Linked DNA regions of Saccharomyces cerevisiae S288C. The gene in region 3 interacts genetically with the main gene of each other region. Each region holds a gene or a part of one and is shown on either strand. Other genes may lie near its edges. The genes, in order: PSP2, RPL40A, DOG1 and FRM2.

Region 1 (8,791 bases), on a different chromosome or scaffold from region 3:
TTCACTCCGAGGTACTTTCCATTGCCACACCCGACGTCGATACCGATGGAACCCATTGGGCGAGTCTTCAAGAACTGAGTCACTATGGGCCATGGCTTATATCTAGTTTGCGAGAAATGCGGAGCTATCTCATTATACACTTTGTGAACATACTCCTGTTCTTTTTCAGCCGCTTGGTTTATCTCCATGTTGGTTCTTAACCTTTTATTTCTTGGCTCTTCGAGACCTCATCTCTGTTCAGTTCATTACCGAATTTTTTCTCTTATTCCCATTTCTTCGACTGAAAAGTTGAAAGAAATTGAAAAATCAAGAAGAGGTATATAGAGATAATTATCCATATAAATGAAGAGCACAAAGTAAGTTTGAGCTTCAACAGCGCAACGATGACCGAACCTCAAGGTCCTTTGGACACCATCCCGAAAGTGAACTATCCGCCAATACTGACAATAGCAAACTATTTTTCCACAAAACAAATGATTGACCAAGTCATCAGTGAGGACCAGGACTACGTTACGTGGAAATTGCAAAACCTGCGAACGGGTGGTACATCAATCAACAACCAATTAAATAAATATCCAAAATACAAATACCAGAAAACCAGGATAAATCAGCAAGACCCGGACTCTATCAACAAAGTCCCAGAAAACCTGATCTTTCCACAAGACATTTTACAACAGCAAACACAAAATAGCAATTACGAAGACACCAATACCAACGAAGATGAAAATGAAAAACTTGCGCAGGACGAACAATTCAAGCTCTTGGTAACCAACTTGGATAAAGATCAAACTAATCGGTTTGAAGTTTTCCATAGAACATCCCTAAACAAAACCCAGGTCAAAAAACTGGCTAGCACAGTAGCTAATCAAACTATAAGTGAAAATATTCGTGTTTTTCTGCAAGCGGTGGGAAAAATATACGCTGGTGAGATAATCGAATTGGCCATGATTGTGAAGAATAAGTGGTTGACAAGTCAAATGTGCATAGAGTTTGATAAGAGGACCAAAATAGGCTATAAATTGAAAAAATATCTAAAAAAATTGACTTTCTCCATCATAGAAAACCAGCAATACAAGCAAGATTATCAATCCGATAGCGTTCCCGAAGACGAACCTGATTTCTACTTCGACGATGAAGAAGTAGACAAGCGCGAAACTACGCTGGGCAACTCGTTGCTACAGTCCAAATCCTTACAGCAATCAGACCATAATTCACAGGACTTGAAGCTACAACTCATCGAGCAGTACAATAAGCTCGTCCTCCAATTCAACAAACTAGATGTAAGCATCGAGAAATATAACAACAGTCCCTTATTGCCCGAACACATCCGTGAGGCGTGGAGACTCTACCGTCTGCAGTCGGACACTTTGCCTAACGCTTACTGGAGAACTCAAGGAGAAGGGCAGGGATCCATGTTCAGATAGCTGCCCATAATTGTCCAACGGCTCCAACATATATCAATCTATATATAAACATATATATAATTTTTAACATGTCGTTTGAAATGACATGTCTATTTTTAAAAGGATAGCATATAAATTAATGAAAAAAAAAAAAAGAAAACGATTACTGCAGATCTTCTAATTCTGTTAATCAGCTTTCTCTTGTGAACCATTGGCAGGTGGGTAACATAAAAGCACAATACAATAGCTTCCATTATTAGTTTTGTTTGTTTTGGCAATACATGTTAAATCTTTTTCTTTCAAGTTAAATATAAAGATTATATATAAAAGTACTTCTTTGGAATACATTTGATTATACTTTTCTTTATCGTTTTATTTTTATTTCATCGTTATAGTCGCTTCTTTTCCCCTAGAGGCTTTGTCATAAAACAACAAATCAACCACTCTCTGCTTATCTTTCCTTCCTTTTCAAAATGGGTAATTCAAGTTCAAAATCTTCGAAAAAGGATTCACATTCGAATTCCTCCTCGAGAAATCCTCGTCCTCAAGTGTCGAGAACCGAGACTTCCCATTCTGTGAAGTCTGCAAAATCAAATAAATCTTCAAGATCAAGGCGATCTCTTCCTTCTTCGTCCACTACGAATACTAATTCAAACGTCCCTGATCCCTCCACTCCATCAAAGCCCAATCTTGAGGTTAATCACCAACGACATAGCTCTCACACGAATCGTTACCATTTCCCATCTAGCTCACACTCGCATTCAAATTCTCAAAACGAATTGTTAACTACTCCTTCATCATCCTCTACTAAGAGGCCTTCTACTTCTAGAAGATCAAGTTATAATACTAAGGCTGCTGCTGATTTACCACCTTCAATGATCCAAATGGAACCCAAGTCACCCATTTTAAAAACAAACAATAGTAGCACACACGTATCCAAGCATAAATCTTCATACTCATCTACCTATTATGAGAACGCCTTAACCGATGATGACAATGATGATAAAGACAACGACATCTCGCACACTAAAAGGTTTTCTAGATCTTCGAATTCTCGTCCGTCCAGTATAAGAAGCGGATCAGTGTCAAGAAGGAAATCAGATGTGACCCATGAAGAGCCTAACAATGGATCATACTCCTCTAACAATCAGGAGAATTATCTCGTTCAGGCATTAACCCGGTCAAATTCTCATGCATCTTCGCTACACAGTAGGAAATCTTCGTTTGGATCAGATGGTAATACCGCATACAGCACCCCATTAAACTCTCCAGGCTTGTCCAAGCTAACAGATCACTCTGGTGAATACTTTACCTCTAATTCAACCTCCTCATTGAATCACCATTCAAGTCGCGATATTTACCCGAGCAAACACATCAGCAATGATGATGACATTGAAAATTCATCTCAATTGAGTAATATCCATGCATCAATGGAAAATGTTAATGATAAAAATAATAATATAACAGATAGCAAAAAAGATCCGAATGAGGAATTTAATGATATAATGCAATCTTCCGGAAACAAAAACGCTCCAAAAAAATTCAAAAAGCCTATCGATATTGATGAAACTATCCAAAAATTACTGGATGCGGGCTACGCTGCTAAGAGAACAAAAAATGTTTGTTTGAAGAACAATGAAATTTTACAGATTTGCATCAAGGCTCGTGAAATCTTTCTTTCTCAACCTTCCTTATTAGAATTATCACCTCCTGTAAAAATTGTAGGCGACGTTCATGGCCAATATGGGGATCTCTTAAGGCTTTTTACCAAATGTGGGTTCCCACCATCCTCGAACTATTTATTCCTAGGTGATTATGTGGACCGTGGTAAACAGTCACTGGAGACTATTTTACTATTGTTTTGTTACAAAATAAAATACCCTGAAAATTTCTTTTTATTGAGAGGCAACCATGAATGTGCTAACGTCACAAGGGTTTATGGATTTTATGATGAATGTAAACGTCGTTGTAACATCAAGATCTGGAAGACATTCATCGATACTTTTAATACATTACCATTAGCTGCTATCGTAGCCGGAAAGATTTTTTGTGTTCATGGTGGATTGTCGCCAGTTTTAAATTCTATGGATGAAATCAGACATGTAGTTAGGCCTACTGATGTACCAGATTTTGGCTTAATTAATGATCTTTTGTGGTCCGATCCCACAGATTCACCCAACGAATGGGAGGATAACGAACGTGGTGTAAGTTACTGTTATAATAAGGTGGCAATTAACAAATTCTTGAACAAGTTTGGGTTTGATTTGGTTTGTAGAGCTCACATGGTTGTGGAAGACGGTTATGAATTTTTCAATGATAGAAGTCTCGTTACGGTGTTTTCCGCGCCAAATTATTGTGGTGAATTTGATAATTGGGGGGCTGTAATGAGCGTCAGCGAAGGTTTATTGTGCTCTTTTGAATTGTTAGATCCACTAGATAGTGCAGCTTTGAAGCAAGTTATGAAGAAAGGTAGACAGGAAAGAAAACTGGCTAATCAACAACAGCAAATGATGGAAACAAGCATCACAAATGATAACGAATCTCAACAGTAAATTTACTGACTAAAAAATCCAGAAGTATTATATTCATTATTTCATGAACAACTCAACGATGTACATATGCACATATATATATATATATATATATATATATATATGAAAGACAGGAAATAGAAGTTCCCTATCTTTTTCTTAATGACATTAAAAAACTTCCTTTCATCGCCTACTGCCTTCGCGTGTGTATTGAATGCTCATTCGCTCTATACAATCTAGAACTCTCCGAAATTTCGTTCTACTTTGCTTTCGCTATATTAAGCTGTTTATATAAATTACGTAATGGTATATAGTCATATAGCTAAATTCAATGGTTCGTTTCTATAGATTGGTTCTCCTTAATTTTAATTTTTTATTGCGTATAACGTGAGAGATTATTTTCAACCCCCCCAATACTTACGAAACTTCATAAAACTTCTTTAAGAAATAAGGGCCTATAAAAATTGTGAACTAATCAAGAGAAAATATATAATCAAAATTGATTAATCAGAAAGACGAATTTTTTTTAAAAAAAAAATTCAAAACAACTGAAGGGGAAATGGACAAAAAGCAGCATAAGTAGTAAAAAGTGGAAACAAAATAAGGTCAAAAAAATCTGAGAGGAAAAGGAACGCTATATTACATTACTCAGAACTGCGTAACCGACTAGAACAAAAAAAGGAAATAGAGGAAAAAAAAAAAAAAAAAAAAAAAAGAGAAAAGAAAATTAATGGGTCAGTACATGACTCATAAAGGCATGTCTGTTGTTCTGTTATTGTAGTTGGAGTAGTTACCGCTGCTTCCACGTCCACCACGACTACCTCGATTGTTATATGCGCCTCTGCCAAATCCCCTTCCTCTGCCAAATCCTCTTCCTCTCGAACCTCCATTCATACCGCTGCTGTTATAGTTACCGCGTCCATTGTTCCTTATAGAATCATTATTACCTTGGCCAAGGAACCCACTTGCTGGTTTGAAAATGGAATATTGTTGTGTATTGGATGTTGAGTTCGTGAAATCATTCTTTTTATTTCCTGAGGCATCTAAAGATGAATCCGAGGTTAACCCTTCTTCATTGTTTTGTCGATCATGATATCTTGAACCGTTATTATTATTACTACTACTATTATTATTATTATTATTATTATCATTAGTGTTGTTGTTGTTGTTGTTGTATGAGCTGCCACCACGATATCCGCCGCGATTACCACGATTGTTATGCCCACCTTTATAACTGCTGCCATTGGGGCCTCCACGATATCTATTACTCCCTCTAAAATTGCCATTATTGTTATTATGGTTTCCGTTATATTTGGTTCTGCTCATACTATGTTCCCTTTCCACATTCTTGAAAGTGAACTGTTTATCAACATCGGTTTCTGAACCTTTATCTTTATCATTTGAGACATCTAATTGAGCTTTATCGTCGCCACCTTTCTCAAAGCCTTGTTCATCGCCACCTTTGAACTCGTCCGATTTATCGGGCTTAGATTGTAGTTCAAGAGCTGGTGAGTCAAGCTTGCTTAATGGAGTTCCTTTCTTGGAAGTTTCATTGACCACAGATCTCTCAACTACTTCAGAGTAACTTAAAGGTTTGGGAGTTGGGGTTGCAGAATGTGATTCCTCCTCTGTAGGTGTCTGCTTTTTCAAGATTGTGATCTTGCTGCCTGTTGCAGTGGTTGCCATAGAATCACTACTAGGGATTAATGATGCCCTCAGGGTTGTTGTATCTTCCACGTGTAAATTTTCCATTTTTTCTTCAATGTCCAAAATCTTCGATTGCGTATCAACCGGTTTAGCACTTCCAAAAGGATTGGATTTTGACCGCTGAGTCTTAGTAATGAATGGTTTGCCAGCATCGTCTTTAGGGTCTGTTAATAATTTCACCTTCGTGCTGTAATCCTTAAAATCTTCGAATTCTGCGGGCGCTGTTGTAATGTGGTAAATTTCCTTCAAAGGAGTGGTCCAATAGTTCAAAATTTTGTCCATATCACGGGATGTATATAACTCGACAAATGCTACCTTCGAGTCACGTTTGAAATTTTGATCAAAGATTGACCCCGATTTCAAAGTAGAAATACTTGGATTTTTATTTATCTCCCAAAACAGTTTGAACTTAATAAACTTGGTAAACTTTGCTTGAAAAAGATCTTCAATGTCAAAGTTGGAAAATCTCGGTGGTAAATCAGAAAACTTCACAATATAAGGAGGACCTTGCTGATGCTGCAGCGGGTGGTGATGATTTGCAAAGTCCCCCATGCTACCACCACCAAAAGGCCCTGCATTAGAAAAACGTGATCTGTTCATGGGTCCATGACCACCGTGTGGGTGCTGTTGGTGACCATCACGTTGATGTTCGCCTGCCTTGGTTTGTTTCAAGATGTCAATATTCGTAGTATTGCTTATAGCATCCAAATTAATATCTTCCTCATCCCATACTGACTCGCCTAAAGTGTCGTTCCCTAGAAATTCTTCTAGGGACATTTTCTTCGTAGTGCCATTATTATTAGATGTATTATTTGTTCCTGAATAGAAACATATGTAGACAATTCCGTGACTTTCTCTTCTTTGCGGAAAACCAAGCTGATTAGAGAAAGCAAAAACATTGCAAGACCATGTCTAATCAGCTTGATTTTTAGAGAAACGATAAAAAAGAAGAAAAGAGGCCAAGAGAGAGCATTGTTCAATTGTTAGTGGCTATTTAAACTTGATCTATTTTCTTAAAAATCCACATGAATATTATATCCTCTTTCATGCAATAATTCCTACGTATGACTGAAACAGAAGAAAATAGTAAACATAAAATACTAAAACAAAAAAAAAAAAGGAAACAAAAGAGGACCGTTATGGATCAAAAGGGGTTAATGAGAAAAACCGAGGCACATACCCATTTCTTCCCGTTCCAGCACTCTATGTGATTAAGATCGAGTGAGCAAACGTGTTTTTCTAGGATGATTTCTTGACCAATTCTTTGTGGAGATAAGCTTTAAAGTCTGAAGAACGTATCTCTGTAGTTCTTCTGTCTCATTTAAAATAACCCAAAATTTCCGAAATTTCAGTGCAGCTCAACCCTAAATTAGACCTAATTGAAATCAGTAGGGTTAGCTCGTATTTGAAATATTACAAAACAAGTCCTATAAAACTCTAATCTTAACCCTTATGTTAGATTTTCAGCACGTGATTTTGCATCTTTTTTAGTTTTGCTTAAAAAATTTTGACCTCTACCTTTTCTCTCTCTGTTTAATCAGGTAATAAAAAGTTCAGCCAAAAAGTGTGGTTGTGAAATTTTATTCTGGCGATGCGCAATCGGAGTCTTTTCTATTTCTTGCAACTCGCAGAAGAAAAGGTATTTTACTACATAAATTGTATATATTCCTTCTCAGGATCAGCAACATAAGATATTGGCTTTGATATTATATTGCATCTTATTGCATTGTGTGTTGTGGTTAAGACAAATAAATAAAGGAAGTTTCTTCTTTTTTTTCCTTCCTTTTTTTCCTCTCTCAGATAAAAGTTCAACAGAGCCATGGTGTCGAAGGATCAAACGTCCTTTAATAAGAGGTGGACCTTGGGTCTTCTGATGTTGGGTCTAGTCATTATTTTGTGGGTTTTATCGTCCTTCCTGATAAATTTGATCTTCGAGGATGACTCGTATAGAAAACCATTCTTTATCACGTACACCAATACTGCCGCCTTTATCTTTTATCTTTTTCCAACTGCAAAGGCCGTTGTGGTGAATTACAAGGACACAGGCCGTGCAAACGTTCACCGCGAACTAATTATGGAGGAAGAAGGTACTGGTAGTGATAGCAATCGCTCGGTTGATATGACTAGCCCACTGCTTACAAACCTTGAAGCAGGCACGCATGCCAACCAAAAGAAGAGGCTAACGTTATATGAAACAATCAAGTTAAGTGCTGAGTTCTGCATACTTTGGTTCACAGCTAACCTTGTGACCAATGCCTCGCTGGCATTCACATCGGTGGCATCGCAGACAATCCTCTCCACTACTTCTTCCTTTTTCACCTTGTTCATAGGTGCTATTTGTCATGTTGAATCGTTGAGCAAGTCCAAAGTACTCGGGTCGTTCATTTCCTTTGTAGGCATAATCATGGTCACCAAATCAGATTCTCATCAGCGCTACCAACGCCATATCGCGGACGTTAGTGGTGATGATAACGATGCCGTGCAAGTTCTGATAGGCAACTTGTTGGCACTTGCAGGTGCTGTACTTTACGGTGTCTACAGTACTTTATTGAAGAGAGAAGTCGGAGATGAGACTCGTGTTAACATGAAGATTTTTTTTGGCTTTGTTGGTCTCTTTAATTTACTTTTTCTATGGCCATCACTGATTGTATTGGACTTTTTTGGCTGGGAACCATTCTCTCTGCCCAAAGATCCTAAAGTTGTGGTAATAATCTTCGTCAATTGTCTCATCACATTTGTTAGCGACTTTTGTTGGGCAAAGGCTATGTTACTAACGAGTCCTTTAACCGTCACCGTAGGATTGAGCATAACGATACCCCTAGCAATGTTTGGTGATGTAATCTTTAAGCACAAAACCATGTCTGCGCTCTATTTATTTGGTGCTACCCTCATCTTAGGCTCATTTTTCATCATTAACAAAAGCTCTGAGGAGGAACATTTTGAGAACTCAATAACGGCTAGCAATTACGAATCAGTGGAGGTGCCAGCAGCAAACAACTGATCTTAAAAAAAAAAAAAATAGAAATAATAAAAAAAACTATTAGCATCTAAATTTCAAAGTCAGAAGAAATTTTTCCCTATATAGAATGTATATTATAATTTTTCTAATAACAATTTCATTCCTGTGTGATTTAATAATCTTAAACATTT
Region 2 (7,180 bases), on a different chromosome or scaffold from region 3:
TGGGCAGTGCAACCAATTGTACGTCTACAAAAGGCAACTGAATTAATTACAGAGGGGAGAGGCCTTCGACCGAGCACCCCAAGAACGATAAGCAGAGCCAGTTCATTCAAAAGAGGATTTAGTTCTGGATTTGCTGTTCCTTCTTCGTTATTACAATTTAATACTGCTGAAGCTGGCAGCACCACAAGCGTAAGTGGCCATGGAGGCAGTGGCCATGGCAGTGGTGCAGCTTTTTCAGCAAATAGTAGCATGAAAAGCGCTATAAACCTTGGAAATGAGAAAATGTCACCTCCAGAGGAGGAGAACAAAATACCGAATAACCACACCGATGCTAAAATATCAATGGATGGCTCGCTAAATCACGATTTGCTTGGACCACATTCCTTGAGACATAATGACACTGACAGAAGTTCCAATAGATCTCACATTCTCACAACTTCTGCAAATTTAACTGAAGCTAGGCTACCAGATTATAGAAGACTATTTTCTGATGAACTTTCCGATTTAACAGAAACCTTCAATACTATGACAGACGCATTAGACCAACATTATGCTCTTCTAGAAGAAAGAGTTAGGGCGAGGACAAAACAACTCGAAGCTGCCAAGATTGAGGCAGAGGCCGCAAATGAAGCAAAAACCGTCTTTATTGCCAATATTTCGCACGAATTGAGAACGCCTTTAAATGGTATTCTGGGTATGACGGCTATTTCAATGGAAGAAACCGATGTTAACAAAATAAGAAATAGTTTAAAACTCATTTTTAGATCAGGTGAGCTTTTGCTTCATATTCTAACGGAATTGTTAACTTTTTCCAAAAACGTTCTTCAAAGAACGAAACTGGAGAAAAGAGATTTTTGCATTACCGATGTTGCCTTACAAATAAAATCGATATTTGGTAAAGTTGCAAAGGATCAGCGTGTTCGTCTTTCAATATCATTGTTTCCTAATTTGATAAGGACAATGGTTCTTTGGGGTGATTCCAACAGAATTATTCAAATTGTGATGAATCTAGTGTCCAATGCACTAAAGTTCACCCCTGTAGATGGTACCGTTGATGTAAGAATGAAACTGTTGGGTGAATACGACAAAGAATTAAGCGAGAAGAAGCAATACAAAGAAGTGTATATCAAAAAAGGGACAGAAGTAACCGAAAATTTAGAAACTACAGATAAATACGATCTTCCAACTTTATCGAACCATAGGAAAAGTGTCGATTTAGAATCCAGCGCTACTTCCCTAGGAAGTAATAGAGACACTTCGACAATTCAGGAAGAGATAACAAAAAGAAATACTGTTGCGAATGAAAGTATCTATAAGAAAGTGAATGACAGGGAAAAAGCTTCGAATGATGATGTATCTTCTATAGTATCAACAACTACCAGCTCGTATGATAACGCTATCTTCAATAGTCAGTTCAATAAAGCACCTGGCTCAGATGATGAAGAAGGTGGTAACCTAGGAAGACCTATCGAAAACCCCAAAACGTGGGTTATTTCTATTGAAGTGGAAGACACTGGGCCTGGTATTGACCCTTCCTTACAAGAATCTGTATTTCATCCATTTGTTCAAGGTGATCAAACATTGTCCAGGCAATATGGTGGTACTGGCTTAGGTCTATCAATCTGTAGACAGTTAGCAAATATGATGCATGGAACGATGAAATTAGAGTCGAAAGTAGGTGTTGGTAGTAAATTCACTTTTACCTTGCCATTAAATCAAACTAAAGAGATCAGTTTTGCAGATATGGAGTTTCCTTTTGAGGACGAATTTAATCCTGAGAGTAGAAAGAACAGAAGAGTCAAGTTTAGTGTTGCTAAAAGCATCAAGAGCCGACAATCCACATCATCTGTTGCAACACCAGCTACAAATAGAAGTAGCCTAACCAACGACGTGCTACCGGAGGTAAGAAGTAAAGGTAAGCATGAGACGAAAGATGTTGGAAATCCTAACATGGGAAGAGAAGAAAAAAACGACAATGGAGGGCTTGAACAACTGCAGGAAAAAAATATTAAACCTTCTATATGTCTTACAGGTGCTGAAGTTAACGAACAAAATTCCTTGTCTTCTAAGCATCGTTCTCGACATGAAGGTCTAGGTTCTGTCAATCTTGATAGACCATTTTTGCAAAGTACTGGTACAGCCACATCAAGTAGAAACATCCCCACAGTCAAAGACGACGATAAAAATGAAACAAGTGTCAAAATTTTGGTTGTAGAAGATAATCATGTAAATCAGGAAGTTATCAAAAGAATGTTGAACTTGGAGGGCATTGAAAATATTGAACTGGCTTGCGATGGCCAAGAAGCATTCGACAAAGTTAAAGAATTGACATCTAAGGGCGAAAATTATAATATGATTTTCATGGATGTCCAGATGCCTAAAGTGGATGGTTTACTTTCTACCAAGATGATAAGGCGCGATTTAGGTTATACCTCACCTATTGTCGCTCTAACCGCTTTTGCTGACGATAGCAACATTAAAGAATGTTTGGAATCAGGAATGAACGGATTTTTATCGAAACCAATCAAAAGACCAAAATTGAAAACTATTCTTACTGAGTTTTGTGCAGCATATCAGGGAAAGAAAAATAACAAATGAACAACCAAGAATAGTAAGAGAAATCAAAAGCTTGCGCGTAATACCACCGCTACGCGTTGACTTATATGCATAATATACAAATATACTTAAAAAAAAAAAAACAACATTATAGATTCCAAAGTTATGAAACTAAGAAAAGTATATTGTTTTCTTAAGTATATTGTATGAATTAATATTATGATTTTAACAGTAGGTATGATAAAAGAAGATGTACATTAAAGTATACAGTAAATAAATGTATAGATTGATTGGGCGAAACAGATCATTTTAACTTCTTCTTTGGACGCAATTGGTTGGTGTGACCACACTTTCTCTTTCTACAGTTGGTAGCTCTTGGTGGCAATCTAGCATAACACTTACGGCAAACAGATTTGTCACAGTTGTACTTGGAAGCCAAAGCTTTCAAAGATGGTTCAATGATACCACCTCTCAATCTCAAGACTAAGTGCAAAGTGGATTCTTTTTGAATGTTGTAGTCAGACAAGGTTCTACCGTCTTCCAATTGCTTACCAGCAAAGATCAATCTTTGTTGGTCAGGTGGGATACCTTCCTTGTCTTGAATCTTTGACTTGACATTGTCAATAGTGTCAGAAGATTCAACTTCCAAAGTGATGGTCTTACCAGTCAAAGTCTTGACAAAACTGTTAAAAAAATAATTTTATAAAAAAATGACAAGTTAGTAAGGATATCATAAAAACACGTAATAGTTTTTTCATAACTGTTCGGAAGAAGACAAAATTTTAAACGAGCTCTCATCGTCATATCTTGGGGGAGAGCATGAACCACAAATTTGGATATTTCTTAGGCAATGAGACTGTTAAGTCGCATCACCCGCTCAAAATCTAATCATATTTTCCACAAGTCACTGTACATTCACTAAGTCATTCCTAGAGAGGAAAGTTCCTCATATTCAGTTTGGCAGTTTTCTTTGTTTTAATTTTTGATGGATAAAAAATTTTGTAGACTTTACAGATACGATGTTATTCCACTGGGTAAAAATTCAGTTTCTAAAATAATTGTCCCTTTAAGCTCTGAACGTTCGAAAAACTATGTTTAGAATGGATATGGTGCATACATTTGCATGTTTGAATCTTGGTCGTCTCAACTATGGGATAATAAGCGGTAATAACAACAACAAATAGAGATTCAACTACCTTTAATTTCAGATATTCTTGATACACCTTTGGTTGGAATGTATGCCTCGCTAGAAACTGGAGAAGGCCGTCCTGAGGCCGGAAACCATCTCACCCTCAGGGAGGCAATCGGAGGTCCTGTCTAGAGAGAAAAGAGTACAACAAAACCCATCCCATAGGAGGAATATGCTCCGCCTATGTCCAGGCGGAGTGCTAAGAGGTTCCGCATCTTTTCTGGTTTGCTCCACGAAATATCGACACGGAGCACAAAAATAGAAAAACCATACATCTTAGTAATGTACGGATGTAATAAACTCAAATTGCAGTCAATAAACTTGTCGATAGCTTACCCGGATATTGCATGGAAAATTTACTTCACCATAAGGGAAAAAGACCAATATTCGTTAATGAACAGTGGATATTATAGAATTGTTGGATAGAGTTGATCGATAATTGAAGATAATAGAAGAAGAAAACAATATCGGCGTTAAATTGCAAGCGCTTATTTCTCTGGTGGCTTTTCTTTTTCTAGTGGAAGTTTACCAAAAGAAATTTAAGGCGAAAGAACACTGGGCGGAAGCAAACCGGCAATGGAGGACAAAATATCTGAGTTTTTAAATGTTCCATTCGAATCACTTCAAGGTGTTACCTATCCTGTCTTAAGAAAGTTATACAAGAAAATAGCCAAGTTTGAACGTTCTGAAGAGGAAGTGACAAAACTCAATGTTTTGGTCGATGAGATCAAATCGCAGTACTATTCAAGGATTTCAAAACTTAAGCAGCTACTAGATGAATCTTCTGAGCAGAAGAACACAGCTAAAGAAGAATTGAATGGCTTGAAAGATCAGCTGAATGAAGAACGTTCCAGATATAGGCGGGAAATAGATGCACTAAAAAAACAATTGCATGTGAGCCATGAAGCTATGAGAGAAGTAAATGACGAAAAACGAGTTAAAGAAGAATATGACATTTGGCAGAGTAGAGATCAGGGGAATGATTCTTTAAATGATGATTTGAACAAAGAAAATAAGCTTCTTCGAAGAAAGCTGATGGAAATGGAAAATATACTACAAAGGTGCAAGTCCAATGCTATATCATTACAGTTAAAGTACGATACCTCAGTACAGGAAAAAGAATTAATGTTACAAAGTAAAAAATTAATTGAAGAAAAATTATCATCTTTTAGCAAAAAAACGCTAACAGAAGAAGTCACAAAATCATCGCACGTAGAGAACCTCGAAGAAAAACTATACCAAATGCAATCCAACTATGAATCTGTCTTTACGTACAATAAGTTTTTACTAAATCAAAATAAACAATTATCCCAGTCGGTGGAAGAGAAAGTACTGGAAATGAAAAATTTGAAAGATACCGCAAGTGTGGAAAAAGCAGAATTCTCCAAAGAAATGACTTTACAAAAAAATATGAACGATTTGCTACGCTCACAACTAACATCATTGGAAAAAGATTGTTCCTTGAGAGCAATAGAGAAAAATGATGATAATTCCTGCAGGAACCCTGAACATACTGATGTGATAGACGAACTTATAGACACAAAATTAAGACTCGAAAAATCAAAAAATGAGTGTCAAAGGTTACAGAATATAGTTATGGATTGTACCAAGGAAGAAGAAGCTACAATGACTACGAGTGCAGTTTCTCCCACAGTAGGTAAACTATTTTCTGATATCAAAGTGCTGAAAAGACAATTGATAAAGGAAAGGAATCAGAAATTTCAATTACAGAATCAACTGGAGGATTTTATACTAGAATTAGAGCATAAAACCCCTGAACTGATCTCTTTTAAGGAAAGAACAAAATCATTGGAACATGAACTAAAACGTTCCACAGAACTACTAGAAACTGTTTCTTTGACTAAGCGTAAGCAAGAAAGAGAAATAACTTCACTGAGACAGAAGATAAATGGCTGTGAAGCAAATATTCATTCTCTGGTGAAACAACGTTTGGATTTGGCCCGTCAAGTTAAACTACTTCTTTTAAATACATCTGCGATACAGGAAACGGCATCGCCGTTATCGCAAGATGAACTGATATCATTAAGAAAAATACTGGAGTCGAGCAATATCGTAAATGAAAATGATTCCCAAGCCATCATTACGGAAAGACTGGTTGAATTCAGTAATGTGAATGAGCTACAAGAAAAAAATGTTGAACTCTTGAATTGCATTCGGATTTTGGCTGATAAATTAGAAAATTATGAAGGAAAACAAGACAAGACCTTACAAAAGGTAGAAAACCAGACCATTAAAGAAGCAAAAGATGCAATAATTGAACTGGAGAACATCAATGCGAAGATGGAAACCCGGATAAATATCCTATTAAGAGAGCGGGATTCTTACAAATTGCTGGCATCAACTGAAGAAAACAAGGCCAACACAAATTCTGTCACTTCTATGGAAGCAGCCCGTGAAAAGAAGATTAGAGAACTTGAGGCAGAACTTTCATCTACAAAAGTCGAAAACTCTGCTATTATTCAGAATTTAAGAAAAGAGTTGTTAATTTATAAGAAATCACAATGCAAAAAAAAAACAACTTTAGAGGATTTTGAAAATTTCAAGGGTTTGGCAAAGGAAAAAGAACGTATGTTAGAGGAAGCAATAGACCACCTAAAAGCTGAACTCGAGAAACAAAAATCATGGGTTCCATCATACATACATGTTGAGAAAGAAAGAGCCTCAACTGAACTGTCACAGTCTAGGATCAAAATCAAATCTTTGGAGTACGAGATTTCCAAACTGAAAAAGGAAACTGCCAGCTTTATACCCACGAAAGAATCTTTAACTAGAGATTTCGAACAATGCTGCAAAGAAAAAAAAGAATTGCAGATGAGACTAAAGGAGTCTGAAATCAGTCATAATGAAAATAAAATGGATTTTAGCTCGAAAGAGGGCCAATACAAAGCCAAAATCAAAGAATTGGAAAACAATTTGGAAAGATTACGTTCCGACTTACAATCAAAGATACAAGAAATAGAATCGATACGCTCATGCAAGGATTCGCAACTCAAATGGGCTCAAAATACCATCGATGATACAGAAATGAAAATGAAGTCCTTACTAACTGAATTATCAAATAAGGAAACAACGATTGAAAAACTTTCATCAGAAATAGAGAACCTGGATAAGGAACTAAGAAAAACCAAATTCCAATATAAATTCTTGGATCAAAATAGTGATGCAAGCACGTTAGAACCGACTTTGAGAAAAGAATTAGAGCAAATCCAAGTTCAATTGAAGGATGCAAACTCACAGATACAGGCTTATGAAGAAATTATATCATCGAATGAAAATGCGCTAATAGAATTGAAAAATGAACTAGCAAAAACCAAAGAAAATTACGATGCTAAGATTGAACTAGAGAAGAAGGAAAAATGGGCGAGGGAAGAAGATCTATCTCGTTTACGCGGAGAGCTCGGTGAAATAAGAGCT
Region 3 (7,141 bases):
GTATAGAGAACTTTCTTCTGCTTCCTTTCGGAAGAACTGAGTGAATATTGACTGGCGTGCGTCATAGCGAGATTTTTTCATCTGATGATGTATGGAAAAAAAAAAAAAACTTTTTTTTGAATAATGGATGCATCGAGTGACTTTCATTGTTGCGCACGTTGCTTTTCCAAAAATGGTATTAATATAGGTCTTTTATCTCTTACTTCACATTTAACTGCTTGTTAAATAACCCCAGTGTTTTCTTTTTTTTGGATGAATAAGGAAATCAACAGCTGGTACACGCATATACACATATACCATGACCATTGATCTAGCTTCTATCGAGAAATTCCTCTGTGAACTGGCTACTGAAAAAGTAGGACCAATCATCAAATCCAAGTCCGGCACTCAAAAGGATTATGACTTGAAGACTGGCTCCAGGAGCGTTGATATTGTAACTGCTATCGATAAACAGGTCGAAAAGTTAATTTGGGAATCGGTAAAAACCCAATATCCAACTTTCAAGTTTATTGGAGAGGAAAGTTATGTGAAAGGGGAGACCGTGATTACTGATGATCCTACCTTTATTATTGATCCAATTGATGGGACTACAAACTTTGTTCATGATTTCCCATTTAGCTGTACCTCTCTTGGGCTCACAGTAAACAAAGAGCCCGTAGTAGGCGTTATATATAATCCTCACATTAATCTTCTGGTATCCGCTTCTAAAGGAAATGGGATGAGAGTTAACAACAAGGACTATGACTATAAATCAAAATTGGAATCTATGGGTTCTCTAATACTAAATAAATCCGTAGTGGCATTACAGCCAGGTTCCGCTAGAGAGGGAAAGAATTTTCAGACAAAAATGGCCACATATGAAAAATTACTATCATGTGATTACGGTTTTGTTCATGGATTCAGAAATTTAGGATCATCTGCAATGACAATGGCATATATTGCTATGGGGTACCTTGATAGTTATTGGGATGGTGGTTGCTATTCGTGGGACGTGTGTGCTGGATGGTGTATTTTGAAAGAAGTGGGCGGTCGTGTAGTAGGTGCCAATCCAGGTGAATGGAGTATTGATGTCGACAATAGGACATATTTGGCTGTGAGGGGAACAATTAATAACGAAAGTGACGAACAAACAAAATATATCACAGACTTTTGGAACTGTGTTGATGGCCATTTGAAATATGACTGATCGTCAGCACATTAGGCCTAATATAAAATGTACGATTAAAATGACAGTTATTTGAATCATTTTAGCTGATCACAGGGATATAGAAGGTATTGGTAGTAATAATAATAATGATAATAATAATAATGATAATAATAAATAATAAATAATAAAGCGATAGATAATGCTCATTGATTATAGATGTATAAGCAACCGTCTTGGCCAAATAGTCCAAAAACGCCAACTAGAGGCATCCATCCTTCACCTCCTCCAAACCTTTCAGCTAAATGCAAAGCTTTCTCTAAACGATCGGACTCTACTGGTTTACCTATGCTAAAACCACGAATACATAACATACCCTGCTTCTTCTCTATGTTCAAATGAGGGTTTGTTTCCGTTTCTACCATTTTTCCTTCTAATGTTGTACTTAGTGTTCCATAACATACAACGTTATCGTCCACAGATTTTCCAAAAACCCTATAGTCATAAAAATTGGTATGTGCCACAGGTCCCATGATAGCGTAGGGACAATATAACTCGAGGACTACACGGGATCCTAATTGAGCTCTTATTTTATTCAATTGTTCAGTGCTTGGGGTGATTCTTCGGTTAGTCTTTTTTAGCTGAGGAATTTTTTCAGGAAATGTCGAAATAACCTCAGCATCTTTCACATTATCTGCCAAATAAACACATCTTAATTTTTCAAGAGAATGTGGCTCGATTCTGGCAATTTTCGTAAAAATACCCTCGCTCAGTAAGTTCGTGGCCCAGGATAAGTAGATTTTATTCAGCAGCCCACTTCTAGAATTAGAATCAATTAATTTGACAACATCCTTTGTTTCGGTAAACAGTAACGTAGTTTCTTGCAACGACTCGCAATCTATCGTTGTAGGATTGATGAAAGATGCAGACCCACCATGCAGCAAAACTGCAAAAAGCTTTCCCCAAATTTGTAGGCTTGCACTAGAATTTGCCAATTTTGTCGAAATGGTTAGGTATTCATTACTATTCAATTCATTTCCCAAGGGGAACCCTTTGATGAATTCCGCTATATTACTCACCAGACAGATTTGATTAAAACTATTAGTTCCATTCCATGGTGAAGTTACGTATGCAAAAAGTTTCTTATCATCAGAGTTGTCATCTGGCGGGGTGTATTGGTACTCTGTATCCTTGGTAAAACCGTCGATAAGTTCTTTCCAAGTGATAACATCACAGTTCGCATCAAATTGTAGTGATTCGATAGGATCATCGCAAACAACAATAAGCTTGTACCAATCCTCGCTGCCGTTTAGCATCTTAAAAGACTTCCATGAGTCGATGATCAGGACATCAACATCTTCTAGTCGTTGTCTAGGAACAGCTGGCAAGAAATGAGGTATTGAACCTGTTCTTATAGAGGTCATCATGGAAGCCAAGGAGAGAGTAAAACCCTCTACGGTAGCAATAGAATTAGCTATACCGATATTTTTGAAATTCTTATTGGAAAGTTTCGGAAATATGCGCTTGGCCATACCATTAAGTTCACTCAACGAATAACTTTTTTCTCTTCCTGTAAATTTAATTATGTTTTTTCCCTTGGAAACTTCCATTATGGCATTCCAAACATCACCGAAATTGCCATTTCTTATTTTGTATTTTAAAGATAGCCCTAATCCTGTCGTCAATGGGAATCCTGTGGGCACTAAAATGCTTCGATAATATGCTGTTTCATTTTCTTTACGAACACTGGATATGCTAGATTGCTGTGACAAAGCCACCCCTGTTAAATCTCTCTTAAAATCAAGTAGAAAAGAGCTTAGCAACCAGTTGGCGCCCAGCACAATTAACAATATTGTTATTACCAGCTGTAGTAGAAAAGACCAATTCATTGCTCATCAACTTTTGCCGCTTGTTTAACTGTCTTTCTTTCTAACGAAAGAACTTTCTATAGCTTAATTGAAAAGCACTTGAAATGCTTAAAACTTAACCTATGTTGAAGCTATAAAGGTGTTGCAGAATGATTTCCATTCAATGTACTTCTCGAAGTTGCTGTCGTTTATGATACGATACATATTAGAACTTTTTCATTCTTAACGACGCGCAAAGAAAAACGAAAAGCTAATGACCAAACCAAGGGTCCTAGGATTCTCATTAACATCAATTCAAGGCAATCAGTTACAATATTTATAATAAAGTAATTCGTGCTATGTATCCTTTTGCCAAGTAACTTGCCAGAAATTCCGTTTATCTACTTCATCTTATCGGTGAAAAAATATACACTGGGCTCTTCTACACACGCCTTCTACCGCATATCCTTTAGAGTCTTGGCTTCTTGTAATTTTCAATCACGGTTATGTTCCGTGATACAGACACGTCAGAGTATTCCTATATATTCCGACATTAACCCCGACATTTCAAACAACCGTTGTTCAGCTATAGAAGGAAGCGTATATCTATGAGATTATAGGCTCTGGTACCATCTAATGATATAAATTTCATGGAACTTTTTTATTGCAAGTATTTTATTTAATTTTATTTTCATTTTTAATGATCGCGATTATTCTGTTGGAAATAACGTTCTGATGGAGATTGTTGGTTACGTTGCCACTCACGTAAGAAGTTCAAAGGATAATGGCAGAATTTTCAGCTGATCTATGTCTTTTTGACCTAGATGGTACCATAGTGAGTACAACAGTGGCCGCAGAGAAAGCATGGACCAAGTTGTGTTACGAATACGGTGTTGATCCTTCCGAGTTATTTAAGCATTCTCATGGTGCAAGAACACAAGAGGTTTTGAGAAGGTTTTTCCCTAAATTGGATGATACAGACAATAAAGGTGTTCTTGCTCTAGAAAAAGATATTGCCCATAGTTACTTGGACACAGTAAGCCTTATTCCTGGTGCAGAGAACTTACTGTTATCGTTAGATGTAGATACTGAGACTCAAAAAAAGTTACCTGAAAGGAAATGGGCTATCGTTACCTCTGGTTCTCCATATTTGGCATTTTCATGGTTCGAGACAATATTGAAAAATGTTGGAAAGCCCAAAGTTTTCATTACTGGGTTTGACGTGAAGAACGGTAAGCCTGATCCCGAGGGTTATTCAAGAGCTCGTGATTTATTGCGTCAAGATTTGCAATTAACTGGTAAACAGGATCTGAAGTATGTTGTCTTCGAAGATGCACCCGTGGGCATAAAGGCCGGCAAAGCAATGGGCGCCATTACTGTGGGTATAACATCCTCGTATGACAAGAGCGTTTTATTTGACGCAGGAGCAGATTATGTAGTCTGTGATTTGACACAGGTTTCCGTGGTTAAGAACAATGAAAACGGTATTGTCATCCAGGTAAACAACCCTTTGACAAGGGCCTGAGTAAACAAAAATGTGACAAAAGAACGAATATATATAGATGTAAAACATATGGACAAGCAAAAAGTCGAATTATGTATGTCATTTTAGGTACTGAAGAGGTAAGATTTTTTTTGAGTTTTTCTTCGAAGATGGTTGTGTGGTTATATGTTAATCTTCCTTAGCGCAAAACACTTCCATCAACTGTATTTCGTTGGAATGCTTTGTATTCAGTTTTGTATCATTATCTTTAATCACAATTGCGTCAGGATGTAAGAACTACGTAATGATCTTATTATTTCTCGTAGAGAATAGTTCCGTAGATTGAATACGCTCCGTCATTATTTTTAAATGTGGGGAAGGGGTAATTCTCGAGGATTTTTCAAAAACTTAAAATGCGCTGGCAACATCTTCTTTGGTGAAAACAAATGCTAAAAGGAGACTAAGAGTACTTTTTGTTATTCACTATAGTATTAGCCAACACGTTATCGATACATTTACTGCTATATACATAAAAAATTTACGTCAAAAAAATAAAAAAAAAAAATGCCACAATTTTCAGTAGATCTTTGTCTTTTTGACCTAGATGGGACTATTGTCAGCACAACAACTGCAGCGGAAAGTGCCTGGAAAAAATTATGCCGTCAGCATGGGGTTGATCCTGTTGAGTTATTCAAGCATTCCCATGGTGCAAGATCACAAGAAATGATGAAGAAATTTTTTCCAAAATTGGACAATACCGATAATAAAGGTGTTCTTGCGTTAGAAAAGGATATGGCAGATAATTATTTGGACACAGTAAGCCTTATCCCTGGTGCAGAGAATTTATTGTTATCGTTAGATGTAGATACTGAGACTCAAAAAAAGTTACCTGAAAGGAAATGGGCTATCGTTACCTCTGGTTCTCCATATTTGGCATTTTCATGGTTCGAGACAATATTGAAAAATGTTGGAAAGCCCAAAGTTTTCATTACTGGATTTGACGTGAAGAACGGTAAGCCTGATCCCGAGGGTTACTCAAGAGCTCGTGATTTATTGCGTCAAGATTTGCAATTAACTGGTAAACAGGATCTGAAGTATGTTGTCTTTGAAGATGCACCCGTGGGCATAAAGGCCGGCAAAGCAATGGGCGCAATTACTGTGGGTATAACATCCTCGTATGATAAGAGCGTTTTATTTGACGCAGGTGCAGATTATGTGGTCTGTGATTTGACACAGGTTTCCGTGGTTAAGAACAATGAGAACGGTATCGTTATCCAGGTAAACAACCCTTTGACGAGAGATTAAATAAATAAGGACATCGCAGAAGCACGAATATATAGATAAAATTGTATGTAAAAGCAAAAGTTGAACTGCGTATGATTTCTTATAGTGAGTATGAAATTTTTTTTTTTTTTGGTTATCTAACTTATTTTTCTTTGATACAGATCGTGTGGTTGAACAACCGCGCCGAAGGCTTGATCAGTGGGCTGATTACCAGACATCTTCTTGGTATCTACCTGAAGTCTTGAGCATCTTGATTAGCTCTGTTGCTTCATCAGTGGTAATGGATTTACCACGGGATAAGATGCCAACCAATGCGGTTGACACACCCTTGGCCATACCCTTTGCATCACCACAGACGTAGATAAATGCACCGTTGTTAATCATTTCAAATACTTGGTCTTCGTAATCCTTTAATTTATCTTGAACATAAACTTTTTTGGTGTTTGGCAACCTGGAATGGGCCACGACCATTTCGAACGAACCATCCAATTTTTTGGCGTATTCTGGCCATTCGTCCTGGTACAAGAAATCATCAGTGTTACGGGATCCATAAAACAGTATATGCTTACCTAGCGAAACGTTGTTACCGCCCTTCTTTTGTGATTCGAGGAACGCGACACGCTCTCTGATAAACCCACGGAATGGGGCAACACCGGTACCTGGACCGATCATGATAACTGGGGTGGAAGGGTTGGAAGGCAATCTGAAGTTAGAACGACGAACGTGGACGGGCAATTTGTAATTGGCGAAAAGTTTACGTGGGCCATTTAAATCGTAGTGAACAGGTAGGTTAGTTTCGGCAATGTTAACATTGTTTTGAGCCAATTGAATGTTTCTTAACAAGTTAGTCGTAACACCAACAACTGGAGGAGCATCAGGCAATTCTGGGTTAGGAAAGTTTTCCACAATGGAGGTGACATGGACGGTTTGCTTTTCAGACAGAGAAGAGGAAGAGATAGAGTAGTAACGAGGAGTCATTTGGGGAACTGATTCGACCAAGAATTGCATGGGTACGGTGTCCCATTTGGCGCCATCAGACAAATATTTCAGAGCATCTGCGATGTTGAAATATTTGGAGGTTATCTCGACGGCGAATTGGTCCTTGTCTTTCGAAAGCAGAGTCAATTTTTCCTTGACGTCAGCGTTGGGGGCGAACTGAATCAAAGATGAAAACAATTGTCTGGAGACAGGTCCTGTAATTTCCAAATAGTGTTTAATAGCAGCGCCAATAGTAGTTGGCGTTGGGAAGGGCACTTTGACGGTGGGATCCAGGGGCTTCAAGTCAAAAATGGTTTCAGGGTCCAGGTTGAATATGGATAAGAACTGTTCGACCTTTTCCAATGGGTTGGAAGGCCAAACAGCAAGATGGTCACCAGTGGAGTA
Region 4 (7,077 bases), on a different chromosome or scaffold from region 3:
ACGCCTTTTACCTTGTCCTTTGATGCCTGTCTCGTCCAAACGTTTTTGGTGTCTTGGCCAATTGCCCTTCTGAAAAATCTCACTGTCCGCAACTCATTAAAAGATACCCAAGCAAGCTACACGATAAAGAAAGGAGAAAGTTCATTAAAAGAACGTACATATAGCGATACAAACGTATAGCAAAGATCTGAAATGGATACGGATAAGTTAATCTCAGAGGCTGAGTCTCATTTTTCTCAAGGAAACCATGCAGAAGCTGTTGCGAAGTTGACATCCGCAGCTCAGTCGAACCCCAATGACGAGCAAATGTCAACTATTGAATCATTAATTCAAAAAATCGCAGGATACGTCATGGACAACCGTAGTGGTGGTAGTGACGCCTCGCAAGATCGTGCTGCTGGTGGTGGTTCATCTTTTATGAACACTTTAATGGCAGACTCTAAGGGTTCTTCCCAAACGCAACTAGGAAAACTAGCTTTGTTAGCCACAGTGATGACACACTCATCAAATAAAGGTTCTTCTAACAGAGGGTTTGACGTAGGGACTGTCATGTCAATGCTAAGTGGTTCTGGCGGCGGGAGCCAAAGTATGGGTGCTTCCGGCCTGGCTGCCTTGGCTTCTCAATTCTTTAAGTCAGGTAACAATTCCCAAGGTCAGGGACAAGGTCAAGGTCAAGGTCAAGGTCAAGGACAAGGTCAAGGTCAAGGTTCTTTTACTGCTTTGGCGTCTTTGGCTTCATCTTTCATGAATTCCAACAACAATAATCAGCAAGGTCAAAATCAAAGCTCCGGTGGTTCCTCCTTTGGAGCACTGGCTTCTATGGCAAGCTCTTTTATGCATTCCAATAATAATCAGAACTCCAACAATAGTCAACAGGGCTATAACCAATCCTATCAAAACGGTAACCAAAATAGTCAAGGTTACAATAATCAACAGTACCAAGGTGGCAACGGTGGTTACCAACAACAACAGGGACAATCTGGTGGTGCTTTTTCCTCATTGGCCTCCATGGCTCAATCTTACTTAGGTGGTGGACAAACTCAATCCAACCAACAGCAATACAATCAACAAGGCCAAAACAACCAGCAGCAATACCAGCAACAAGGCCAAAACTATCAGCATCAACAACAGGGTCAGCAGCAGCAACAAGGCCACTCCAGTTCATTCTCAGCTTTGGCTTCCATGGCAAGTTCCTACCTGGGCAATAACTCCAATTCAAATTCGAGTTATGGGGGCCAGCAACAGGCTAATGAGTATGGTAGACCGCAACAGAATGGTCAACAGCAATCCAATGAGTACGGAAGACCGCAATACGGCGGAAACCAGAACTCCAATGGACAGCACGAATCCTTCAATTTTTCTGGCAACTTTTCTCAACAGAACAATAACGGCAACCAGAACCGCTACTGAACGATGATTCAGTTCGCCTTCTATCCTTTGTTTACGTATTTGTTTATATATATAACTTTATTTTTTTTTATTAATTGGGCTGCAAGACAATTTTGTTGTCAGTGATGCCTCAATCCTTCTTTTGCTTCCATATTTACCATGTGGACCCTTTCAAAACAGAGTTGTATCTCTGCAGGATGCCCTTTTTGACGTATTGAATGGCATAATTGCACTGTCACTTTTCGCGCTGTCTCATTTTGGTGCGATGATGAAACAAACATGAAACGTCTGTAATTTGAAACAAATAACGTAATTCTCGGGATTGGTTTTATTTAAATGACAATGTAAGAGTGGCTTTGTAAGGTATGTGTTGCTCTTAAAATATTTGGATACGACATCCTTTATCTTTTTTCCTTTAAGAGCAGGATATAAGCCATCAAGTTTCTGAAAATCAAAATGGTAGCAACAATAATGCAGACGACAACAACTGTGCTGACGACAGTCGCCGCAATGTCTACTACCTTAGCATCAAATTACATATCTTCGCAAGCTAGTTCCTCGACGAGTGTAACAACAGTAACGACAATAGCGACATCAATACGCTCTACACCGTCTAATCTACTCTTTTCTAATGTGGCGGCTCAGCCAAAATCATCTTCAGCAAGCACAATTGGGCTTTCAATCGGACTTCCCATCGGAATATTCTGTTTCGGATTACTTATCCTTTTGTGTTATTTCTACCTTAAAAGGAATTCGGTGTCCATTTCAAATCCACCCATGTCAGCTACGATTCCAAGGGAAGAGGAATATTGTCGCCGCACTAATTGGTTCTCACGGTTATTTTGGCAGAGTAAGTGTGAGGATCAGAATTCATATTCTAATCGTGATATTGAGAAGTATAACGACACCCAGTGGACCTCGGGTGATAACATGTCTTCAAAAATACAGTACAAAATTTCCAAACCCATAATACCGCAGCATATACTGACACCTAAGAAAACGGTGAAGAACCCATATGCTTGGTCTGGTAAAAACATTTCGTTAGACCCCAAAGTGAACGAAATGGAGGAAGAGAAAGTTGTGGATGCATTCCTGTATACTAAACCACCGAATATTGTCCATATTGAATCCAGCATGCCCTCGTATAATGATTTACCTTCTCAAAAAACGGTGTCCTCAAAGAAAACTGCGTTAAAAACGAGTGAGAAATGGAGTTACGAATCTCCACTATCTCGATGGTTCTTGAGGGGTTCTACATACTTTAAGGATTATGGCTTATCAAAGACCTCTTTAAAGACCCCAACTGGGGCTCCACAACTGAAGCAAATGAAAATGCTCTCCCGGATAAGTAAGGGTTACTTCAATGAGTCAGATATAATGCCTGACGAACGATCGCCCATCTTGGAGTATAATAACACGCCTCTGGATGCAAATGACAGTGTGAATAACTTGGGTAATACCACGCCAGATTCACAAATCACATCTTATCGCAACAATAACATCGATCTAATCACGGCAAGACCCCATTCAGTGATATACGGTACTACTGCACAACAAACTTTGGAAACCAACTTCAATGATCATCATGACTGCAATAAAAGCACTGAGAAACACGAGTTGATAATACCCACCCCATCAAAACCACTAAAGAAAAGGAAAAAAAGAAGACAAAGTAAAATGTATCAGCATTTACAACATTTGTCACGTTCTAAACCATTGCCGCTTACTCCAAACTCCAAATATAATGGGGAGGCTAGCGTCCAATTAGGGAAGACATATACAGTTATTCAGGATTACGAGCCTAGATTGACAGACGAAATAAGAATCTCGCTGGGTGAAAAAGTTAAAATTCTGGCCACTCATACCGATGGATGGTGTCTGGTAGAAAAGTGTAATACACAAAAGGGTTCTATTCACGTCAGTGTTGACGATAAAAGATACCTCAATGAAGATAGAGGCATTGTGCCTGGTGACTGTCTCCAAGAATACGACTGATGAAAATAATATTGACGTTCGCATTTAATCTATACCTATAATTCTGTACTTATATACTGTTCCTTAATTGAAGATTTCAACATCGTTTTTGATGTAGGTCTTTTCACCTGGAGGTGCGGCTGGGGTACCGAAGACTAATTGAGCTTGTACGGTCCAAGACTCAGGGATTTTGCTTGGCAAAGCAGCTTTTATGTAACCATTGTAGTGTTGTAGGTGACCACCCAGGCCCATTGCCTCCAAGGCAACCCACGAGTTGATTTGAGCGGCACCAGAGGTATGGTCCGCGAAACTAGGGAATGCAGCTGCGTACGCTGGGAAGTCAGCCTTTAGCTTTTCAGTTACCTTGTCGTCGGTGAAGAAGATTACAGAACCAAAGGCCTCATCCCTTGCTGAAGCAGGCCTCTTTTGACCGGCAGGGCTTTCTATAGCCTTAGTCACTTCGTCCCAAACTTTTTTGTGAGTTTCACCAGTCAAGATAACAGCGCGATTTGGCTGGGAGTTGAAAGCGGTGGGTGTTTCTTTAATGATGGTTTGGACGACGGATTGGATGTCGTTGATAGTAATTTCACCAGGTAACTCCGGTTTCAAAGCGTAAATAGTACGACGAGCAGTTAAAGTTTTCAAATAAGTTGCAACAGCAGACATGATATTGGATTGTTTTTTTGTATATATGTTGATATAGGATACTTCAGTCTACGAAAAAAGTACAAATTATGTAGTCAGTTCCTTCAGTATGGTGTCCTTATATACTGTAGTTTGGACAAGGTGCAAATGCCAAGACCCTAGCCCGAAAAGCTCGAGGCACCCCAGGATCTTTTTCTTTACGTAATTTTCACGTAAAACGCCACAGTCCGATTTTTCTCGAATAATCATTAGTAAAAGCGGTATACTGGATTATTGTACGATAACAAGGTAGAGCTTTATTACTAAGCTAAGACGTTCTTACATCAATAGTGCTGTTCGTTATTGATGTTAGGAGAAGGAGCGGGTCTGGTGAATAGTGTAAGCAGTGTTTCTGAACTTTTTCTTCGTCTAAGTCCTTGTAATGTAAGGTAAGAATGCAAGCATCTTGTTTGTAACGCGATTGTACGTTGACGTTAGTAAGTCACAAACCCAAGCTTAACTTCTTCGTGAGGAAGGAAAGTGTTGTCTCCTACTTTTTTCAAATTTTCGAATTGTATTTATATTTATTTAGTACTTCTTGAGTTTACATATCCTTCGTAAAAATGCAACTTTTGTCGAAAAACACTTCCAAAAAAAAATAATAATGAATTTATGAAGCATACTAACGAGCGAGCACATCGCTGAGGTATCATTACTTCATGAGATAAATTAAGATCTCCTCATATGCGAATTTCCTGTTCAGTGATAAACGTTGATTACGTTATTGATAAAAGTCTTTTCTTCTGGCAAGGCAGTTGGAACACCAAAGACCAATTGAGATTGTACAGTCCACGCAATAGGAACATCTTGAGGCAAAGCAGATTTGACGTAGTCATTATAGTGTTGCAAATTAGCCCCCAATCCCAATAGTTCGAGGGCAGTCCAAGACTGAATTTGCACAGCACCGGTCGTATGAGCGGCGCATGTTGGGAAAGCGGCTGCCAAGGCTGGAAAATCTCTTTGCAGTTTTTCAGTTGGTCCTTCATCAGTGAAGAAAATGACTGAACCGTAAGCCTCATCTCTGCAAGACTCTGGTCTCTTCTTGGCTTCAGCAGTTGGCATTGCGCTCGCAACAGCATCCCATATCCTTTTGTGTGTATCACCAACGATAATGACAGCGCGATTCACTTGTGAGTTAAAAGCTGTTGGCGTATTCTTGAGAATAACGTGTACAGTTCTCTTTACATCATCCAAACCGACACCTTGTGGTAATTCGGGCTTCAAATTGTAGATGGTACGACGGTTTGTAATAGCGTTTAAGTAGTTTCCAGTTGGGGACATTTCTTTGGCTTGGAGGTCTGGTGTTCTTGATTTTGATGGTGTATATAGCTTTAAAAAACCAAAAATGATCAACCTTTATATCTCTCTTCGATCACAACATGGGTGGAGACAAACACAAAGTAGTGATGACCCACTCAGGTGTTAAAGTGTGTCATATCTGCAAATGACACTGTATTTTTTTTTCCTTTGCCATTTATTGTCGCAGTAAGGAAAAGCGCAGAGCAAAGCTGACAAATTGAAAAATTATTCGGAAGAGCATTGACAAATATTGATTAATAATCAAGTAACACTCGCAGACATTGTTATTTCAGAAGTAAAAATATCGCAGAACAAGTTGGTTAAACTGAATGCTTCAGTCATTCTAATGCTAATTACACCTTAACAAAATTAAAAATTCTTAACGTAGATTTTTAAAAAAGGCAAGAAGATCGTTCCTGATGCACGACGAAAACGGTTGCACCCCTACTAAGGCAAAATTGCATATGCGGATGAAATCAAACCTCTTCTGTTGCATTAAGAACAAAAGGAAATCATTTTTCTCTCACTTCATATTATTTCACTTATATTTTCCTCTCCACTTCCATCACGCAATCGTTAGTGCTTTTTATTTTTTTTCTTCGCTCATAAAGGACTAGAATTAAAATGAAAATCGTCTATCATTACACGTATGCTATTACTACAAAACAGAAGTACAAAAATGAATAAATATAAAAGAAGTAAATGCTTTTTTTTTTAACACCAGAAGGCAACGACCCTTTTCCAATAAGGTCCGTTCCTCAAACGTTCCCTATATTCTTCGTCTTCTTGCTTGATTAATTCTTCATCAAAGATTTGTCTATGAGAATCTAGGTCGATCTTGTCTGCCCTGATGAACAGTTTCCAATCCTTGTGCCAGACCTTGTAGCCGACATAAAGTGCAATCAAGATTGGCATAGCCAAGTAGTTTTCGAAAAAGGCTTGTGCATCCAGCTTACCTTCACCAATGGGGGCGATAGCGACCCAAAATTGGGCAATAAGAATTAAAATCATCATAATGCAAGCGTAGGCAGATCCCCAAACACCAGTTTGAGATTTGAAACCCAATTCTCCAAGAGATCTCCCTTGGACTTTCATGGCTCTTCTAAATCTAAGATGGGATAAACAAATGGCAGTCCATGTGAAAAGCTGAGACAAACCAGAAATGGCCAATAACCAAGTGAAAACTTGTTCTTCCTTGGGAGATGCAGCACAGAAGGCAATAACGGCAAACAATGCAGAAACACCCATGGCAATCAATGGTCTACCGGCTCTGTCGATGTAGGAGAAAACCTTAGGAGCGTAACCTTGCTCGGATAGAGTTAAAAATAAACGAGCACTGGAGTAGAAGGAGGAGTTAGCCATGGACAGCACGGAAAGTAGAATAACGGCGTTAATGAAGTGTGGGACGACACGGACACCGTGGGATGCAACAGCAATGACATATGGCGAGGCTTTAGTACCACCACCGGTAGAACCCAATAATTGATCGGAATTGTATGGCACCAAGAAACCCAGTAGAATAATGGTAGCCAAGAATAGGAATAAGATTCTGTAGATCATTTGTTTGGCCGCACCTGGAATGGCCTTTCTTGGATTAGATTGTTCTGCAGTGGTGATGGCAATAAACTCTGAACCACCAAAGGCAAAAGCAGCAGTCACTAATGTTGCAGCAACACCTTTAAATCTGTCAATGGCATGTTTACCATTGAAAGCGCCCGGATCGTGCCAGTA

What was found.
Region 1: mutations in DOG1 (region 3) and PSP2 together harm fitness more than expected from each alone (negative genetic interaction), as found in Saccharomyces cerevisiae (one large-scale study listed by BioGRID).
Region 2: mutations in DOG1 (region 3) and RPL40A together harm fitness more than expected from each alone (negative genetic interaction), as found in Saccharomyces cerevisiae (one large-scale study listed by BioGRID).
Region 4: mutations in DOG1 (region 3) and FRM2 together harm fitness more than expected from each alone (negative genetic interaction), as found in Saccharomyces cerevisiae (one large-scale study listed by BioGRID).

The regions. Positions count from the first base shown.
Region 1 is NC_001145.3:234,622-243,412, reverse strand, and holds PSP2 (Psp2p), read right to left. Parts: upstream 6,826-8,791; coding exon 6,822-6,825; intron 6,460-6,821; coding exon 4,682-6,459; downstream 1-4,681. Other genes in the region: TRM9 (tRNA (carboxymethyluridine(34)-5-O)-methyltransferase), read right to left, coding at 1-188; TATA-binding protein-associated factor TAF11, read left to right, coding at 384-1,424; PPZ1 (salt homeostasis regulator), read left to right, coding at 1,877-3,955; YML018C (uncharacterized protein), read left to right, coding at 7,461-8,642. UniProt on the Saccharomyces cerevisiae protein: DNA polymerase alpha mutation suppressor. Suppressor of group II intron splicing defects of a mutation in MRS2. May play a role in mitochondrial mRNA splicing.
Region 2 is NC_001141.2:65,209-72,388, reverse strand, and holds RPL40A (ubiquitin-60S ribosomal protein eL40 RPL40A fusion protein), read right to left. Parts: upstream 3,682-7,180; coding exon 3,674-3,681; intron 3,240-3,673; coding exon 2,861-3,239; downstream 1-2,860. Other genes in the region: SLN1 (histidine kinase), read left to right, coding at 1-2,598; MLP2 (Mlp2p), read left to right, coding at 4,322-7,180.
Region 3 is NC_001140.6:191,443-198,583, reverse strand, and holds DOG1 (2-deoxyglucose-6-phosphatase), read left to right. Parts: upstream 1-3,775; coding exon 3,776-4,516; downstream 4,517-7,141. Other genes in the region: inositol monophosphate 1-phosphatase INM1, read left to right, coding at 299-1,186; DDE1 (Dde1p), read right to left, coding at 1,351-3,033; DOG2 (2-deoxyglucose-6-phosphatase), read left to right, coding at 5,039-5,779; NCP1 (NADPH--hemoprotein reductase), read right to left, coding at 5,966-7,141. UniProt on the Saccharomyces cerevisiae protein: Phosphatase that is active on 2-deoxy-D-glucose 6-phosphate (2-DOG-6P), as well as on fructose-1-P.
Region 4 is NC_001135.5:69,958-77,034, forward strand, and holds FRM2 (type II nitroreductase), read right to left. Parts: upstream 5,329-7,077; coding exon 4,747-5,328; downstream 1-4,746. Other genes in the region: prion domain-containing protein RNQ1, read left to right, coding at 193-1,410; FUS1 (Fus1p), read left to right, coding at 1,846-3,384; HBN1 (putative nitroreductase), read right to left, coding at 3,448-4,029; amino acid transporter AGP1, read right to left, coding at 6,061-7,077. UniProt on the Saccharomyces cerevisiae protein: Type II nitroreductase, able to reduce 4-nitroquinoline N-oxide (4-NQO) into 4-aminoquinoline-N-oxide (4-AQO) via 4-hydroxyaminoquinoline (4-HAQO), using NADH as reductant. involved in the oxidative stress response.